Linked DNA regions of Caenorhabditis elegans. The protein of the gene in region 1 purifies or fractionates together with the protein of each later gene. This does not show direct contact. Each region holds a gene or a part of one and is shown in the gene's direction. Other genes may lie near its edges.

Region 1 (5,975 bases):
AGTCGTCTATATGTACGCCGCTCTTGAAGATGCTGACCACTTCGTCTAATTTATCATTGGGAATCATGATTTCAATTCCATCAACAACAATCATTTTTTTTCGACATGTCTGCGGAACTCTGAAAAATGGAAATTATGATATTATCAAATTTTAAAACTGACTCATGAAACGTGCCTTTTCTTTGACATGATTAATATTATAATTGATAAATATTTAATATAAAACGGACAAATAGAAAAAGAAAGCACTATTTTCGAAAAATTCGCATTAAATAAATCAATGAGCATTTACGATAAACAAGGAGTGCTAGTGTTATTACAGAGTGTCGTATGTGCACTCCTCTCGGAATAACTCTGCGTATCTCACCCAGTCACAGTCTCTCGACACATCTGGTGAAACACATTCCTGCAGCTGTAGGAATCTGAAAAAACTGTGACTCTAATTAATCGAGAACCTGAAAATGTGTAAAATCCAAAACCGAGAACAAATTATAGACTTTAATGCTATTTCAGAAACACGATTTTCAGACATTTTTCTTCACGTGTACCACCTGCTCGGCGAGCTTAGACTTCCGGTTGACAGGAGTTCTTAATAAGATTTTTGATGTTTGATAAAACATAATAATGAAACGTTTAATTATGTCATTGAATTACTCACACTCGACATATCGTTTTCCCTAAAGGCGCACAGATCTTTGACAAATCACCAAAATGCATACCTATGCATCCACCTATACCACCTACCTACTACCAAATTGAACAAGAACATTCTTTTTAAATATAAGTCTACACTGATAGTGAGCCAGAAAATCACATGAATAGACGTATGCAAAAGCTTATGGCGTAAGAAAGACAAATGAGACTTAGGAAAGGGGAAGGTCTGCCTACCTTCCTGCTGATAGATTTAGATTAGGGTCATCTGCTTTGACAACTGTAACTTTTATCACATGGTATATCCTTTCCTTATAGCATCTGCCAAATTGATTCGGCTTGCTAGTTCTGTCAGAAAACCTCATCCATTACTCACATTTTTTCACAGCTCTTCATTTTTACGTCGTCATTAGGCAGGCTCGTCTGTCTATTCTTACTTCGCATCTAACCAATTACCGCTCTGTGCCCTTGAGAGCAACTTGAAAGAAACGCAGAGAAGCACGGGCTTGACAACACGCTCAAATCTCACACATAGTTTTGTCTATGCAGCAGTCACCCTCCCATGCATGTATATATCAAACCACCCATTATCACTTTTTGACCATCAGATGTTTCAATTCTTGCATTGTTTTATTCTTGAGTTGAACAATCTGACCCAAGGTTCCGTGTCTCCATGTGAGCATGGCAACCAAAGTAAATCAGCACTTTTACACCTGCCTACAATCACTTTCGATTAGCCTTCACTGTCGATAGACGGGGAAATGACGAGTGAATCAAAGAGTTGTTCTTATATCAACTAGAGAAAGTTTCTCCATTTTTGTATAATCCTTGAATTCTAGACTCGAGCCCACCTTTTTGAACCTTTGAGCCAGACGAAATGGCAATATTTACAAAATCTCATAAGTCTCATCGTTGTGTCGAAGTTTTATTCTGGAAATTTATACAGAAATATATAAAACTATTTATTTGTGCTTTATAAAGATATCTCACTTCTTATTAATAGATTTAAAAAAGCGGCTCAAAAGCTGACTCTAAGGTGCTATAGGCACATAGCGATTTTAATAGTAGATTTTGGCCAAATTTTTGAAATTTTTGATAAAAAGTAACTATTATTTCTTTATATTTCTGTATAAATTTCCGAGAAAAAACTTCGACACAGCATATTCTCATTTAAAAGTTCCCTAAAATAGTGCTCATCAATGTGCATCGATTTATCTATGTATATACCTTCTTGTTATACATCTCATTATATTCAGAGAACATAACGCTAATAAATAACAATCTACGTATCGCCAACTCGATTTCCTGTGGGACTTGATTGTTTTCATGTTTTTCTTCATTTTTGGGCCCACATCAAATTCCTTCTTCTACTCTCAATATACCTATCATACACAGTTTATATAACTAAAAAAAGTAGTCTGTGAATAGAAAACTATTATATAAAACTAGGCAGGTGATTTTTGAGAGGTTTTAATTTAGGTTTCTCTATGTTACAAAGACACACATATCCTCCCCCTCCAAATTCAATTATTTTTTCCTTTCTTTTCTTCTCACTTCTGCATATTTTTCTTTCATTTAATCAGCATTCCAGGCGCCATGGTTCTTGAAATTGTGTTTTTTACCTCGTGTCTGATCCTTTCGGTTGTCGGAGTTTACCTCAATCTGTGCTACCTCAGAGCCACACATCGATCTACGGTCTATCCAAAGTTTACCGGAAATAATTTACGGTTTTTGTCCGTTGCTCATATTGTGCTGGCTTGTTCAAATGTTGTGGCCGCTGGTGAGTTTATATAGGCACAAAATGAAGACCCACTTGCCTACAGAAATGGGATTTCTTGCTCGAGTATAACTGTAAACGATATCTTTTTGTCAAACTTTAGCCCAAAAAATCTTCACTTGTATCAAAACTTTGGCAAGTTCAGGAAGTGTAATGCAATTAGTCCAAGTTAGATCCAACTCTTGCCAATGTAGTCCGAGGTTTGGCAAAAGTTAGATTATACTTGAGACGTGTCCTTTACTAACCTCAACTTTTGTCAAAATTTTGCCAAAGATAAAGCCGTGTTAATATTTTTTGGCAAAACCTATCTAGTAAGACAAGAAGCTGGCTCACAACGCCGAGTTGGTCACGCACTTGTCGTAGGTACACAATTATATGTATGCACACTTGTTTGCTATGTGCATTTCACAATTTTGATGATAATACGGATATATTTTGATCTTTAAACCTTGAAACTAATATTTCTGATTATTTTTCTAAAATAAACCTTTCCAGCTGCAATGTGGGGTGCCAACGTGAATCGCACGACAAAATCCGAAGCCTTCTTCTCGACAACTCTATCAGTCAGCCGTGCTATTCCAGCACTCACTGTGTTTTGGACAACTGTTGAACGGATAACGTACAATCGGAGTCCAACGATTCGAGAAAGTCCCAAGTTTCGATATGTGGCAGTTTTCCGGGTGGGTATCAATATTTTTATTACAATAAATATTAAATACAAATACTAAATACCTTTTATAGGTCATCGAAGTAGTGGTCTCCGTAATTATGGAGATGATTATTCGAGGAATCTATTTGAATAGTGATGATCAACTCAAAGAAGCTGCTGGACTTGAAGTTCTTCAATCTTCAAATGATGAAATTTCAATCAAAAGTTCACTCATCGCGAATGTATACTACGACTTCTATCACGGAATATTGTTTTTGCCATGTATTATAGTAAGTATCCTGTTTTGGCTAGTTTATATATTCAACAGAAAATAAAAATCCTATGTTTAGTTCCCTTAGAAAAAGTCTCACGCATGTGACGCAATTTCAACAAAACTTAAATAAACATATTATAATTATTATTTTGAATTTCAGATCTCGGTTCTCATGTTCAAATCGGCAAAAGGTTCTCACACTCGTGCCTGCCTACTCGGTGGAATGAGAAATGACCAGAAAGTGAGTTTTTTGAGGATTTATATTCTAGTTTTACATTTGACATCAATTTTAGATCCAAAATCTCAGTGGACAAATGACGTTTTTCAAAAATTCCTACATCATGCTGTACATCGCTTGTTTGGCCGACTTCATCTTGCATGTAATTGTCAAGAGATTTATAAATCTAGGTGAGTTTAATATGAAATAAAGATCAGAATAGTCTGAAAACTAAACTTCTTTCAGAAGATTCCACGCTTGATATGATGTACATCAATGCTCGATGCTTTCTTCCAATTGTTTACCCATTATCACTAATCGCTAACAACAAAAATCTCCGAATCGACTATTTCGGAAACTTCATTCTCTGTCGAAAAGCCAGAAATCTGCATAAAGAGTCCAAAGTCAAGGTCATTGCAACACGAGAATCACAAGAATCCATCATTGCCAACTTGAAAATGATCGGAATTCTCAGTGACGTGGATACCTCTCAGGGTGGCGCTGGTGCTGCAAGCCTCGCAATGATGGGAATGGGCGGAGGAGGTGCTCCAAGACCTCCCAGTGGAGGTCGAATGGCTTCTATATCCAAAGATCCTAATTCAATTACGTCTTCCGGAAGTCTAGCTAAGCAAAGTACAGCTTCAATGGGCAGTGGTGGAGCTTCGGGTATGATGATGTTCCACACGAGGCCTAAAAGTTCGGTACCATCGATGGGATCTGTTGGGTGATCAACATATAGATACTATGTATTTTAATTATTCGTTCATCGGCAATTCTAATAAATGTTATCTTTTTGAGTTTAAGTTTTTCCTGTCTATACATTCCTGTACCATATGATAGTGAGACATGTCTATATAAATGTCTGACTAGATCTCGTGAATGAATAACAAAAAGTTGGTTATTGGCCATCTATCATAACAAAATAGCAAAGTTAATCAAATAATTGAAACAGATCAGAGCACAATTTGTGTTAAATATCAACAGCAGGGTTAGGTAAAACTTTCGGGTTAGGAATACATTAATATCTAGTCATTTCAACCACATTTTTATATACATATGAAAGTACGTTTGAAAATTTGCTGACTTATTGTAAGATGTGCTTGTTATTTTATCAAAAATACTTGATTTTTTCTGGTTTCCACTAGATTTGACTTTCTTGCGCAATATGACACAAAGCCTTGCCCACAAAAATGCCTGGCAATGTTACTTCCAGAGTTGCTAAACTAAATTAAGTTAATCGGTGATTTCTTCAAATCTGCAGACCAAACTCCAGAAACTGGCTACAGGATAGACTAGAGTTAGTGGTCTTGATATCATCATTGTAATCCAATTACTCACTGATTCTGCGCAAGGAGTCACAAAATCGTCGAGACGGAGACACAAAAAGTGTGTCAGATAGTTGCCGTTTTTGTGTCCGATTTCTTGTAAATATAAAAACAAATTTTATTTTTGGAAATATTTGTTTAAAATATACAGACTTCGTTTACAAGAAAATACAACTAAATGAGTGTTATTTTACTTGCTATTCCAACTTTGTTCATTGGTTTTATCAGGTATTTTTTATTTATTTCTCAAAGCTAAATATATTTATTTAAGTTACTACCTCTGGATATGGACATATTGGAGACGGCGTGGTATCCCTGGACCTCTAGGTTATCCATTAGTTGGAAGTTTTCCAAAAACTCTCAAATCAGAATATCCTCAATACTTACAAATCAGAGATTGGACAAAACTTTATGGTCCAATATATGGATACACTGAAGGAACCATTAAAACTCTAATTGTTTCTGATATCGACATTGTTCGTCAAATTTTTGTTGAGCAGTATGACAACTTCTATGGTAGAAAACTGAATCCAATTCAAGGTGATCCGGAAAAAGACGAGAGAACTAACTTGTTCTCGGCTCAAGGATTTAGATGGAAAAGGCTCAGAGCTATATCTAGTCCTACTTTTTCGAATAACAGTTTGAGAAAAATCAATGTAACTGTGGAAGACAGTGCGATGGAATTATTGAGACATATTGAAGAACAAACTTCGGAGGGACAACAAATTGATATGTTACAGTGAGTTTTCGATGTATTGGAAAAGTAATTTAAATTTTAAATTACAGATTCTACCAAGAGTTCACAATGGATACTATAGGACGAATTGCAATGGGTCAGACCGACTCGCAAATGTTCAAAAATCCACTTTTGAAGTTTGTCAGAGCGGTTCGTTTTGGTACTATTACCAGTGAAATTCAACATATATTTCCAGATATTCGGAGATAATCGAAAGCATATTCCCCTCATCGGTGGAGTTTTTCCTACTCTTGCTCAAGTTTTTCGATTTTTTATGTTGAAATTTCCATTGTTGGGAGCAGCCAATTTCATTCACGTCAACAAAACTGTTGTGACAGCCGTTCAA
Region 2 (5,848 bases), 1.7 Mb from region 1:
GTCCCGCGTGCTCTTTCTCGTGAATATAATCTGCGACTCTAGTAATTTTAGCACTATCTCTCATGTTCGTTTCGATTTTTGCGCCACATTCGACTTCATTTTTCGTTTTCCAAAACTTCTTTCAAAACAACTTTTTCGCATTAATTTGTTGTCTTCCTCACTCTTTTGAATTCAAAAACGAAAATTTTAAACCACCGATTGCAATTGTTACGAGATGCAAAAACCCGACGAATCGAATGAAAAACGTAAGAACAATTCAAATTATATTTTAAAATAATTATTATTAGTTTCAGATGATATTCCTTGCACATCAGCAAGCCTTCTCGACCATTTGATTCAGAAGGAAGCTTCTGCAGCAGAGGACACTGATCCCTTGGATCATATTGGCAATATAGGAGAAGCTATCATTGGACAATTTTCGTCTGGAGCAGATGTTGGAACCGAAATTCTACAAAATGCTCTCAAAATGTTCGATCAAGCAATGGCCTACACGAATCCACAGGCTCCACCAAAACGAAAATATAAACGAAAAGAAGCTCCGATAGAGGATGCTCAACCTACCACGACTTCATCAGCTACGCTAGCTTCCTTGCTCACTCTCAATCCGGTTCCAATTGAATCTAGTGCGAAAAGATTCCATCAAAATGATCTACGAGCTGGTTTTTCGCCACGTACCAAGTTCGACGTGGATTGTTCGGATTTCTTTCTTCTACAAGGATCTGATGCTGACACTCAATTCAATAATCTCCACAAGAAGCTCGAGAAGGAGAGAACGCAGATGTTTGATGATCAAGTTTCGAAAGATGTTGAACGACTTCTAAATACCGCAAACAGAGTTCACGGTCCCCGAGAATGGACTGCCGAGGAGAAAGCCGAATTCACTTCATACTGTAGAAGCTGGCGCAGTGGAGCATTAGGGGCCGATGACAAGCTGAATCTTCAGAAATTTTATTCAAAAGCGTACGGAAAAGTTTTCCAAGGACTGAGCGAAAATAAAGCTTCATCGGAGGAATCAGCTATCGATTTTTCTAATTTCATGGGTGTCGGTAGTGAAGATCCTGCTAATCAAACAGAAGACGTACCAGGTGGAAGCTGCAAGGCTTCTCCCGACAATTTCTCATTCTCTACTTTGAATCCAAGAATGAAATACGAGAAAGAGAAAGAATTTCGGTCCGCTATCAATAATATATTCACGGAAGTTTTCAAAGAATGTAAGTGAATATTGTAAAAGTTTTTATTCAAACAAAATTCTTTATTTTCAGTTCACTCAAAGAAGCAATTCATTCCCAAACCAACTCGCCTGGACGTTCCGCCGTGCGAAATCGAGCGGGAGCATTTATCAATGCTGATGTCAAAGTTCAGTATAGCTATGGACGATCCAGAAAAGGAATGGAATGTTGATGAGCTTCAGGAACTGCGTCGATTCTATACATTATTTCGAGAAAAAAATCATTTGCCATTCGTTCAAACTAAGGAATTCGGAAAATTTCTGCGTAAAGCATTTGGAAGACTAGAGCATTATGAGCTTCAACGAGGTTTTGCAATTAATTTATGGAACTTATATGATTGTTAGTTATTTCAGAAAATGACACTTCTCTTCAAGAAAAACGAAAATTTTGGCAAGAATACAGGAAAACGCATGTACCACCGAAAAGAGGTGATTTCTAAAATAAATTTTCACATTTTATCCCAATTTCGTACATTTCAGAGCGAAAAGCGTGCGCGGCTAGAACCACACCAGTAAGACCTTATATAAAATCGAATATTGATACAAAAGGAGAAACTGAAGAAGAGAGAAGATTGCGGAGAGCTGCGTATCTTCGAAAGTGGAGGCTAGGTAATATAACATTTTTGTAATAATACATTTAACAAATTATCGATTTTTCAGCTCAAAAAGAGAAGCATTCAGCAGACGTCATGTCACAGTTCAAGCACCAGGAAGATGTCGCCTTGTGATTTCTTTGTTTAATATTAATCAACTTTTTGTTCGCATCTCAGGAAATGTTCTTTGAAAAATAATTTGTTAGATAAAATTTATTTTAATCCGAATAAATATTTTATAATCTTTTTACTTATAGTTAATACAAAATTATAAACTCTAAGAGCTTTCAAAAAGCAAAAACCGCAAAATTAAATGCAAAAAGAAATTACAAATAAATCGTTTTTGAAAATCCGCGCAAGGACGAAGTATGCGCTAACATATGATTGTTGGCGCGTTTCTCATTCCTTGCGCGTTTCCCGTCTCGGCCGATTAATTTTTCAGTGTATTTTTTTCTGTTTTTGTTTATTTTATCCGCATTTGAATACATATTTTTGGCTTATCTTCTTTGGAATTTTTTGAAAGTATCTATGAACAATTTTTTATTGTTATTTATCAATCGATTTTCAGGTAAAATGGGCCACGGAGAAGAACCATTGACCGCCACGTATAAAACGCAGAGACCTCCATGGATCGGTCTTTGGAGTGATCGTGAATAGTAAGCTTTATTCTTTTTCTACTTTTGAAATTAAATCTAATTCAATAAAATATTTTAAAATGGTAAAATTTGTAATTCAGCAAGGGACGTGCCGACTGGTGGAAGGAGCCAGGACTTGAAGACTCTGTCACGCGTTCTGGAAAACTTCGTCTTTATCGTGCTCGTTTCCGTGAGGAAGATCCAGATTGGTATGATCCAAAGGTACAGTTAATTTATTTTGAGTGATATTCGCTAATTTTTTGCGTTTTCAGGTAAAAGACGGAGAATCCCTGGCCGGACCTTTCGGACTCGATTCCAAGAAGACCAAAAATCTCACCAAAAAAGGAGATCAGCCAGGAGAGCTGTCCGAATTCCAGAACAAAGTTTACGAAGGATCCCACCAGTTTAAGGCTATCGCTGAAAAGTTTGGAATCAGCAAAGAGCATCCAGGACTATCCGTTAGTCCAACCTTGAGCGATAATATGCTAAGTGAGGAATAATTAAAATTTTATTATAAGTATCCTGCTACAAAACTTTTTTATTTCCAGCTCCAAAGGACGAGTTAGGCAGAAACGCCGTGTTGCCAAACTCTTGGTATCCTGCCGGACCCCGTTTCTTCGACAGTCCACTCAATGAGGGATCTTTCTGGAAAGGACTTGCCGCCGCCAAGTATGCTGGAATTTTGTGTAAGACTAGATTAAGATTTAAAAAATGTTCACGATAATCATAAAACATAATTTCAGTGGCTCCATACACTATGCTGGAAATCCGTGCACTCAATACAGTCTCGGTATCCGAATTCTCGCCAAGAACCTATATGAAGAGATACCTCCAACTCGCTCCATTCCCATTGGCCGTTGCATTCGCCTGGGGCTTCAGTCTTTCAGCAGCCTCATCGATCCGTCATAAGGATGATGTCCATAATCATTGGTTCGCTAGTGTTGCTGTTGGATCAACCGTGGCTACCATGAGTATGTTTTGTTAAAAATTGTAAGCCAATTTGGCGAAATGATCAAAAAACGTGGTTTTCAGAGCGTAGAAAAAAATTTTAATTCTATTTAAATGATTTCTTATGTGTTTTCATCAGATTTTCTGTTAAATTCGAAGAAAATCACATGGAAAAAATTTAAAACAGAAACTAATATATTTTCGTAATTTTCCAAAATAGAAAAAAATCAATTCAAAAAATTATCTTTCATGGTAGCAGCCACATTATCATTGTATCTCATAATCAATTAGTTCTGATTCTGTCCGAAAAAATATTTTGTTCGAAATATTTTAATAAAAATTAGTCTGAAAATAATAAAAATTCGGCTTAAAATATGAATATTTATTTTTAAAATTTAACAAAATTCTCTGTAAATCTGGCAAAACTTGTACATTTTTATTTTTTAACAAATAAAAAATCTAGACACAAAATCAAAATCTGATTGTCCTGGTTAATTCCTGAAAAATTTAATTTTTCGTTTCAAAACCACTATTTTTCCAGAGAGCAACGTTGCCCTTGGAACCACTGCCGCCATCTTCACCGCCATCCTCGGAGCATTCTGGCAGTATCAACGACACTCGGAGACTGGACTCCAAGGAATGACTGCTCATCCACAATCTGCCGGAATCTGGGGAGGACCACTTCTTTGGCAGAAGATGCAACTTGGAAATGCCGATGTTCCGACCACACGATACTGATTGGATTTTTGAATTTTTTCTAGCTTCGATTCTACAATCATGTATAAGATTTTTAGTTTTCGAGAAAGAAGCATATAGCACTCAAACTTTAATTTTTTTTTTCTTCTTTTCTGCTCTTTTCCGAATAAAATCAGCGGTCATAGCATGAAAATAGTGTCTGTGAGTCGAGACACCGGGGGAACAACAACACAACGAATCGATTGTTTCACACGCTGGCTCCCCACCCCGCTCCGTTGTCCTGGTAACAACAAGAAGCGGGCGGTTCTTAAGAAGGGATACGCGTAGCAGCACACATACATACAAACTCGCATAACTTATTCCCTCTTGCTGGTCAAAAATGTCGTTTCTTGTGCTCTTTGGAGCACTTCTTCTCATTCAGACTTCTGAGCAGATGGTTCAATGCAGGTACACGAAGAATTTGACAAATCGAGCAGATGGTGAGTTTGGAAATTCCGAAATACTTTTTTTTTAATGGTTTTGGAAGGAATAACGTTGCCCACGTAACTCTCGGAAGTGAAAATTCAAATTAAAAAAATTTGCGAATTCTTTTCTTTTTTTGCATTTTGAAAACTGCGAAATTTAGCGATTATTATCGCAAAAATACGATACCCGGTCTCATCACGACAAATTTGTGTTAAATGCAGAAAAGGTGTGCGCCTTCAAAGAGTACTGTAGTACTGTAGTTTCAAACTTTCGTTTCTGCGCAATATTAATCGACTTTTGATAGAATTTCGATACTTAAAAATGCACTTTTTTATTAAATAAATTTCAAAATCTAGAGAAAATCTATGAAAAATCCGGCAGTAGCAAGAGTTTGAAGTTACAGTACTCTTTAAAGGCGCGCACCTTTTCTCAATTAACACAAATTTGCCGTGTCAAGACCGGGTACCGTATAGTTTTCTTACAATTAATTGAAAAACTGAAATAAAATACATGACTTTTTTTTTAACCCATGAATAACACAAGAAAACAATGAAGAACTTCGGTATTCTTTAAAGGTGCACATTTCTTAGAATTTTTGAAAATCGTTCGTTTCGAGACCCTCAACCGTACTTTTGGGCAAGCTTCCATCGAACCAAGGAATTACATTTCAAATTTATTTGGAGATCACGATCATTTTCTGTTTACGCATGACTGAGCGCTTTGACTCATTAGTTTTGACGGCTAAAAGTTGATATGTTGATCTTTATATTACGCAGACGTCGGAAGATGATCATTTTTTCCATATTTTTGGGTCTCGCCACGCTGAAAACAAATTACAGTAACTCGGGCCAGGGGCCAAGGGCCGCTTTTGCATGTCATTCTAATTAGAACGTGCGTGGCCGAGTTTCTCTTTTCGCGGGCACCTGGAAAATTTTTTTGGGTGGTCTCACAGCATAACCCAAATCTTTGTTTTAGGAGGAGATGAGCACTGTCTATTCTACTATCTTCTCAACAAGGAATACGAGAAATCTGGCAGCGTACACTCACTAAGCGCATATCCTCCAAATTCCGACGAAATGACGATTACTGTAATTATGATTTTCAGAGGAGACTGAAGTTTAAATATTTATATTTTCAGATAGAAAATGTGCTTGTCAAATACGTGGAATTGGTGAAAGGATCTAGTTATCAATTCAACGTTTTTGGAGATATTTATCTGGTAGATGGGATGACAAAAGTGGGAAATTAAATGCAAAAATTTGCAGAACTGGAAAGATGAGCGT
Region 3 (5,510 bases), on another chromosome or scaffold:
AAAATCGGGAAGAACCATGCGTGCTTGCAATCCTTCTGTACGTGGGCTAGCCTGAAGTAGACCATCCGGGGAATGTAGTAGAAAAACGAGACCATGATAAGACTTGAGGCAATTATTAACGGAATACTGTGCGTGTAGCTTTCATTCAAATCACCCGGTTCACGTGTGTCAAGAAGCTCACTCAGATCTGATAAGTCTAGTCCAGTTGACATATCGTCAAGGTCCGGAAGTGTACGATTTCGGTGGGATCCCCATGAACCCCAACGGGATGTGCTGTTGCTGATGCTAGAATCAGTCGAATTATCATTGTCTTTGAGAAAAGTGCCAGTGTGCTTCTGCAACATATCCGTAAGAATGTCGGTATGGTTTTGAAAATCTGTCGCGTTATGATCCTCGTTGAGTTGTTCTTTCTGCAAAATTGCACTCGGAATTGGCCCAATAATCATGAAGAAACTAACCACCAATTTCTTGATTTGAAGAGAATCCTCATTGGTTGCGTTTGGGTTCAGTCTTACTAGGTCTCCGGCTATGTTGGCCCACGCGTCTTTTGCTCTGAAATTACATTTTAAAGCGGTTTTTGGTTTTGAGTACGGTAGGGGTACTGTAGGACTACGGTAGGGGTACTGTAGGGGCGTTGTAAGGCTGTTGTTGGGCTATTGTAGGGGCATAGTGAAAATCGTTAGGGGTACTTTAGGGATACGGAGAGGGTACTATAGTAGTACAGTAGAGATATGGTTAGGGTACTGTAGAGGTACTGTAGAAGTACTGCCGTTGGGTGCTACTGGAATACTGCAGAGGAATAATGTAGGGGTACAAAAGGGTTAAGGTTGAGCTACAATAGGGATACGATTGGGGTACTGTAGGGGTACTGCAGTTGCAGTACTGTAGCGGTATTGTAGGGGTACTGTAGAGATGCCGTGAGGAGACTGTAGGGGTATTTTTTAAAATTAAGAGATCAAATCTGCTTTAAGAAAAAATCAAAATTTTAAGTATGACAGGTGGTTATTTTGTAATTGGTTCGGCAACCGATTACCGTAGACCTGTTTCAGAAAAAAAACTTGACTAACCCTTCAGTATCTTTATTTTTAGCTTTCTTCATCAAATTCGAAAAACTGTTTATCAATTTCAGCGAATCCTGAAGCTCCTTGGCCGAAATCTGTCTGGAAAATGAACGAATTTAAAAAAATTAGATTTTACTACTCTTGGTGAAACCCGCTTTTTATTCGGCCTAGATTTTCCTGTAATTTCTAGTGATTCTAGCTACACACGGGCGTAGCTAGAATCAGAATTTTCTAAAAGTCAGGGCAATACGGCTCAAATTATTTTTATAACTTTTTGAAATTTCTGTACGTAACAATGAACTATGTACATATTTTTTTAAAAAATCAGTGACTTACCCTCCTCCACCAGCTTGACCATGACCTCCTCCATGACCTCCTCCGAGTCCTCCAGCACCTCCGCCACCTCCAATTCCTTTCAAGCTTCCGAGGCTGCTGAGATCCATTTTTTCTTCAGGTTGACTCTCTGACGAAAAAAGTAGAAATGACGGAGTTGTCAACCTCACCAATCGGTCTTGTTGAAACCAGGTGCTTTTTTAATTTTTTTCTCAATTTTGCAGGTGAATTTTACGTTCACCTGCTCGTTTTCTCGCTAAAACAAATTAGAAATTGGCAGGGGATACTGTGGCGTGAACTGATCACATTTGAAATTTCACATGACATGAAATGTGTTTCTGTGGGCAGGAAAAAAATCGTTTGAAGTTTCAGGGAAAGTAGCGAATAAGGAAAAATGGAATTATCCAGTAAGAAAAATAAAAAAAAATGAATTATAGGGTGTATGTATTCCAAATATAATTACTCTATAATTGGTTTTTTATCGTTTTGTTCTCAAGTCAGAAGTACATTTAAACCGAATGATCGCGCATAAGGGAGCCTACATGCCTACATGCCTACATGCCTACATTCCTACATGTCTACGCAGTGAAGATCGAGTTTCTCGCAGCAGGAGTCAATTAGAACAAGTTGAAAGCAAAAATACTTTTTTAAAAAAGGCTTCTCAGACTGAAAGCTAAAAAATTCGTTTTGTTTGTTTTGTGCAATTTCAGAATTGCAATTCCAAAAAGAACCCGTGATTCAATGCCTGTTTTTCAGTAATTTCTTGGAATTTTTTATTCAAAACAAAAATTGTAATAAATCACCAAACTTTCCTGGAAGTTTTCGCAAAAATTTCGTGAAAGTTTTTATAAAAATAAAAATTTTAAATTTAAATTCAAGATAACTAAATCGTAAATAAATAAATAAATACATTTTAATCAAAAACGTGAAAACCTAACACGGGGGGGGGGGGGGCTATCGGAAAAAAAAATCAAATCGATTTGAAAATTTTCAAATCAGTTTTCAATATTCATTAGCCGAGAAACGTCTTTTCTAGTTCTCGGGAGGAAATACAAAAGGTTAGTTTATTTTTCCAATTTTTATCTGAATCATTTTGATTTTCAGAACAGTTCTCGTGTAAACAATTATCAAGAGTTCAACATGGCTCCTGCAAACAGAGAAAAGTGAGTTTGAAATATTCATGTAGGGCATGTAGGCATGTAGGCATGTAGGCATGTAGGCATGTAGGCATGTAGGCATAAGAAGCGATTAATAGGCGCCTCAGTCACGCCTCGACCGGGTGATTTCCAGCCAAATATCTATAATCTAGTCTTCATTTCCAGAATCGCCGATGAGGACCGAACCCTGCCGTACTTCCACGGAGCGCTTATGAATATAGACGCCGACCAGCTTCTAGTCAACGATGGAGATTTCATGGTGACCACTCGAATTGTGGCGGATCTCAACAAGCTTCAATTTCACTTGGCGGTCCGTTTGAAGAAGGGTATCCGTCGATATGAGATAAAAAGGAATCAAAACTCTGCAAAACTTGGGAATCGGAGTGCTTCAAACATCGGAAAGCTGATTGACTCACTGAAGGCCGAAACAATCGAGATAAAAGGGGAAAAGGTGATTTTGAAGCGGGCGATTGCGAAGGGAAAGTTCCAGCTGATGCATACCGATGTGAACTTCAAGAAGCAAATCGGGTCAGGAGCATACGGGACAGTTTATAGAGGACGTCTTGTTAAGACCAATGCAATTGTCGCTGTGAAAAAGCTGGATACGGAAGGAACAGACGAGGAAGGTCTGACGGATATGATGAAGGAAGCAAGAGTCATGCAGCTGTACGATCATCCGAATATTGTAAAGTTTTATGGGTACATTCTGGATGATGTTCCATATCTTTTGGTTCTGGAGTTTTGTAATGGAGGATCAGTGGAAGATTTGTTGAGGGACAAGCCAGAGATTAAAATCAATCGAAGAGTTCAATACACTTATATGGCGGCTTGTGGAATGGATTATCTGCATAAGAAAAAGTGGGTTTTTGGACTTTTAGGATTAATGCGTAGGCATGAAGGCATGTAGGCATGTAGGCATGTAGGCATGTAGGCATGTAGGCATGAAGGCGTGTAGGCATGTAGGCATGTAGGCATGTAGCCATGTAGCAATGCAGGCATGTAGCCATGTAGGCACGTAGGCAGGTATGCATGTAGGCATGTAGACATTTCATGTCATCAATTTAGGTTTCCAAGCTAAAACTCCTAAATCTTGGAATGTAGGCGTGTAGGCGTGCAGGCATGTAGGCATATAGGCAAGTAGACAAATCAATTTAAATTCTCAAATTTCAGCTGTATCCACCGGGACATCGCCTCCCGCAATTGCCTCATCCATAATGGTGTAGTGAAGATGGCGGATTTTGGAATGTGTCGCGCTACAGCCGTCTACAAAGTCGACCTTTCGAAACCTCTGAACGTTCGCTGGCTAGCTCCGGAGGTCTGGACCAACGGAGAGACTCGCTACAACACAGATGTCTACGCGTTTGGTGTCATGATTTGGGAGTTCTTCATCACCCCATACCAATCCCCCTACACCGAATGGAAAGGATATACTGTTAAGGTACTAAGCTTTCAAAAAAAAATCATTATCATTTTATCTTCTTTCAGCAAAAAGTTCGAGGTGGCTACCGGATGCAACCGCCGGAGGGCATGCCGAAAGACGTGGCATCTCTGCTTGCCGAGTGCTGGAACCACGATCCGGAGAAGAGACCGAACGCTGAGAAACTCAAGGAGAAGCTGGAGGATCTGAATCAGAAGTATGAAGCCGGAGAACCGAGTCTGCTGCAGGGTTGTTAGAAGAGCTCGGAGAAGTCTGCTGCCGTTTGAGAGCACTATGAGTCTTTGAATAAAATAGTTCGATCTAAACTTAATTTTTAGGCACAAGTAGGCATATACGCCTTGCGCCTAAATGACTACCTAACGTCTTTTATATACAGTTTCACATTAATTCCTGTATTTGATGCTGGGGCAGTTTGAGCTGAAAGCTTATAAACAAAAAGGCAAGCAGGTAGCCGCAATGAAGGCGTAGGCGACCATGAAGGCAGCATGCAGGCAGGATTTTGTGAGGCCATATAGGAGGGTCTACGTGGCTTTTTGTTTTACATTCGGCATTTTTAGTGCAGTATTGATATAAATTCCAGGCATGTTTGAGGAACGCCTGCCCTCGTACCTACTGTCCGCGTTAACTACGCAGGCTCAAGGTAGGCGCAGGCCACCTTGAATACAAAACCAAGTGCCTACAATTTGAAACCATCAACTGCATAGTTCGTAAGACAACATACATCGGAGTTATTGCCTAGGCCGTAGGTAGGCAAGTAGGCAGGCACGTTGGTAGACACATTCAACGCAAAGCAAATAAGCAATTTTATTATCAATAAACTATGGGGAATCTATGGGAAATCAGAAAATTGATCAATATTGTCATGAATAAAGTTCGCTGGCTCAATGTCTTCTTTTCCCCAGTGATTGGTGAGATCGGTGATGATACGGTAGTGGCACAGATGTCCAATTTCACAGAGACGTTTCACAGTCAATTGAAGATCCACTGGTTTCCGATCACTAGTACAATCATGACTTATAAGAGCTCTGGGCTTATATCCAGCCGAGAACATCTCATCGCCGTTCAAGGCTCCGTCTTGGGAGAAGCTTTGTCGGCCGGGTCCCAGAATGAGAATCTTCGGTTGGGAGAGCTGGTCTTGGCCGTTACTGAAAATTTATTTGTTGAATATGGATTTTCTGAAGGGCAATATCATGCAAGTTTCAAACAATTTTTCAAAAAACTCACAGACTATCCACCTCGACCCATTCGATTTTCAAGTTATAATCCTGAATATTATTCAGCTCGCAGAACACGGTGATATCGAATTGAAAATGATCCCAGGCACAAGAAAGGCCGATGGAGAAGAAGAGAAGGGTAATTCCACGAAGCATTTGTCTGAAAATCGAATTGAATTTTTAGGCTGAAAATTGAGCAAAAATTACCCAAAAAAGAAGAACGGAAGACTGCAACCACGTGACTGCAAACTTGAAGAATGATTGGAAAATCAATAAATCCGCACTTGCACGTTCATCCTGTCACGTG

What was found.
Region 2: the proteins of ZK1320.5 (region 1) and nduf-11 fractionate together in Caenorhabditis elegans (co-fractionation; one large-scale study listed by BioGRID). This does not show direct contact.
Region 3: the proteins of ZK1320.5 (region 1) and C18H7.4 fractionate together in Caenorhabditis elegans (co-fractionation; one large-scale study listed by BioGRID). This does not show direct contact.

What each region holds. Positions count from the first base shown.
Region 1 is NC_003280.10:9,661,937-9,667,911, reverse strand, and holds ZK1320.5 (uncharacterized protein), read left to right. Parts: upstream 1-2,234; 5' UTR 2,235-2,247; coding exon 2,248-2,431; intron 2,432-2,923; coding exon 2,924-3,108; intron 3,109-3,169; coding exon 3,170-3,367; intron 3,368-3,511; coding exon 3,512-3,592; intron 3,593-3,644; coding exon 3,645-3,759; intron 3,760-3,814; coding exon 3,815-4,296; 3' UTR 4,297-4,366; downstream 4,367-5,975. Other genes in the region: ZK1320.11 (BTB domain-containing protein), read right to left, coding at 1-119, 176-288; cyp-13A10 (Putative cytochrome P450 CYP13A10), read left to right, coding at 5,072-5,121, 5,165-5,632, 5,680-5,779, 5,826-5,975.
Region 2 is NC_003280.10:11,342,162-11,348,009, reverse strand, and holds nduf-11 (Complex I-B14.7), read left to right. Parts: upstream 1-2,389; 5' UTR 2,390-2,394; coding exon 2,395-2,477; intron 2,478-2,557; coding exon 2,558-2,678; intron 2,679-2,728; coding exon 2,729-2,945; intron 2,946-3,004; coding exon 3,005-3,142; intron 3,143-3,199; coding exon 3,200-3,427; intron 3,428-3,945; coding exon 3,946-4,142; 3' UTR 4,143-4,289; downstream 4,290-5,848. Other genes in the region: B0491.6 (DNA helicase), read left to right, coding at 215-245, 288-1,211, 1,263-1,535, 1,583-1,657, 1,709-1,837, 1,889-1,956; lgc-20 (Neurotransmitter-gated ion-channel ligand-binding domain-containing protein), read left to right, coding at 4,480-4,579, 5,541-5,653, 5,704-5,784, 5,831-5,848.
Region 3 is NC_003282.8:590,943-596,452, forward strand, and holds C18H7.4 (Tyrosine-protein kinase), read left to right. Parts: upstream 1-2,386; 5' UTR 2,387-2,452; intron 2,453-2,498; 5' UTR 2,499-2,534; coding exon 2,535-2,557; intron 2,558-2,716; coding exon 2,717-3,409; intron 3,410-3,538; exon of another isoform or gene 3,539-3,688; intron 3,689-3,721; coding exon 3,722-3,989; intron 3,990-4,036; coding exon 4,037-4,225; 3' UTR 4,226-4,294; downstream 4,295-5,510. Other genes in the region: C18H7.6 (Aa_trans domain-containing protein), read right to left, coding at 1-410, 459-552, 1,068-1,160, 1,398-1,504; C18H7.7 (TransThyretin-Related family domain), read right to left, coding at 4,819-5,134, 5,214-5,359.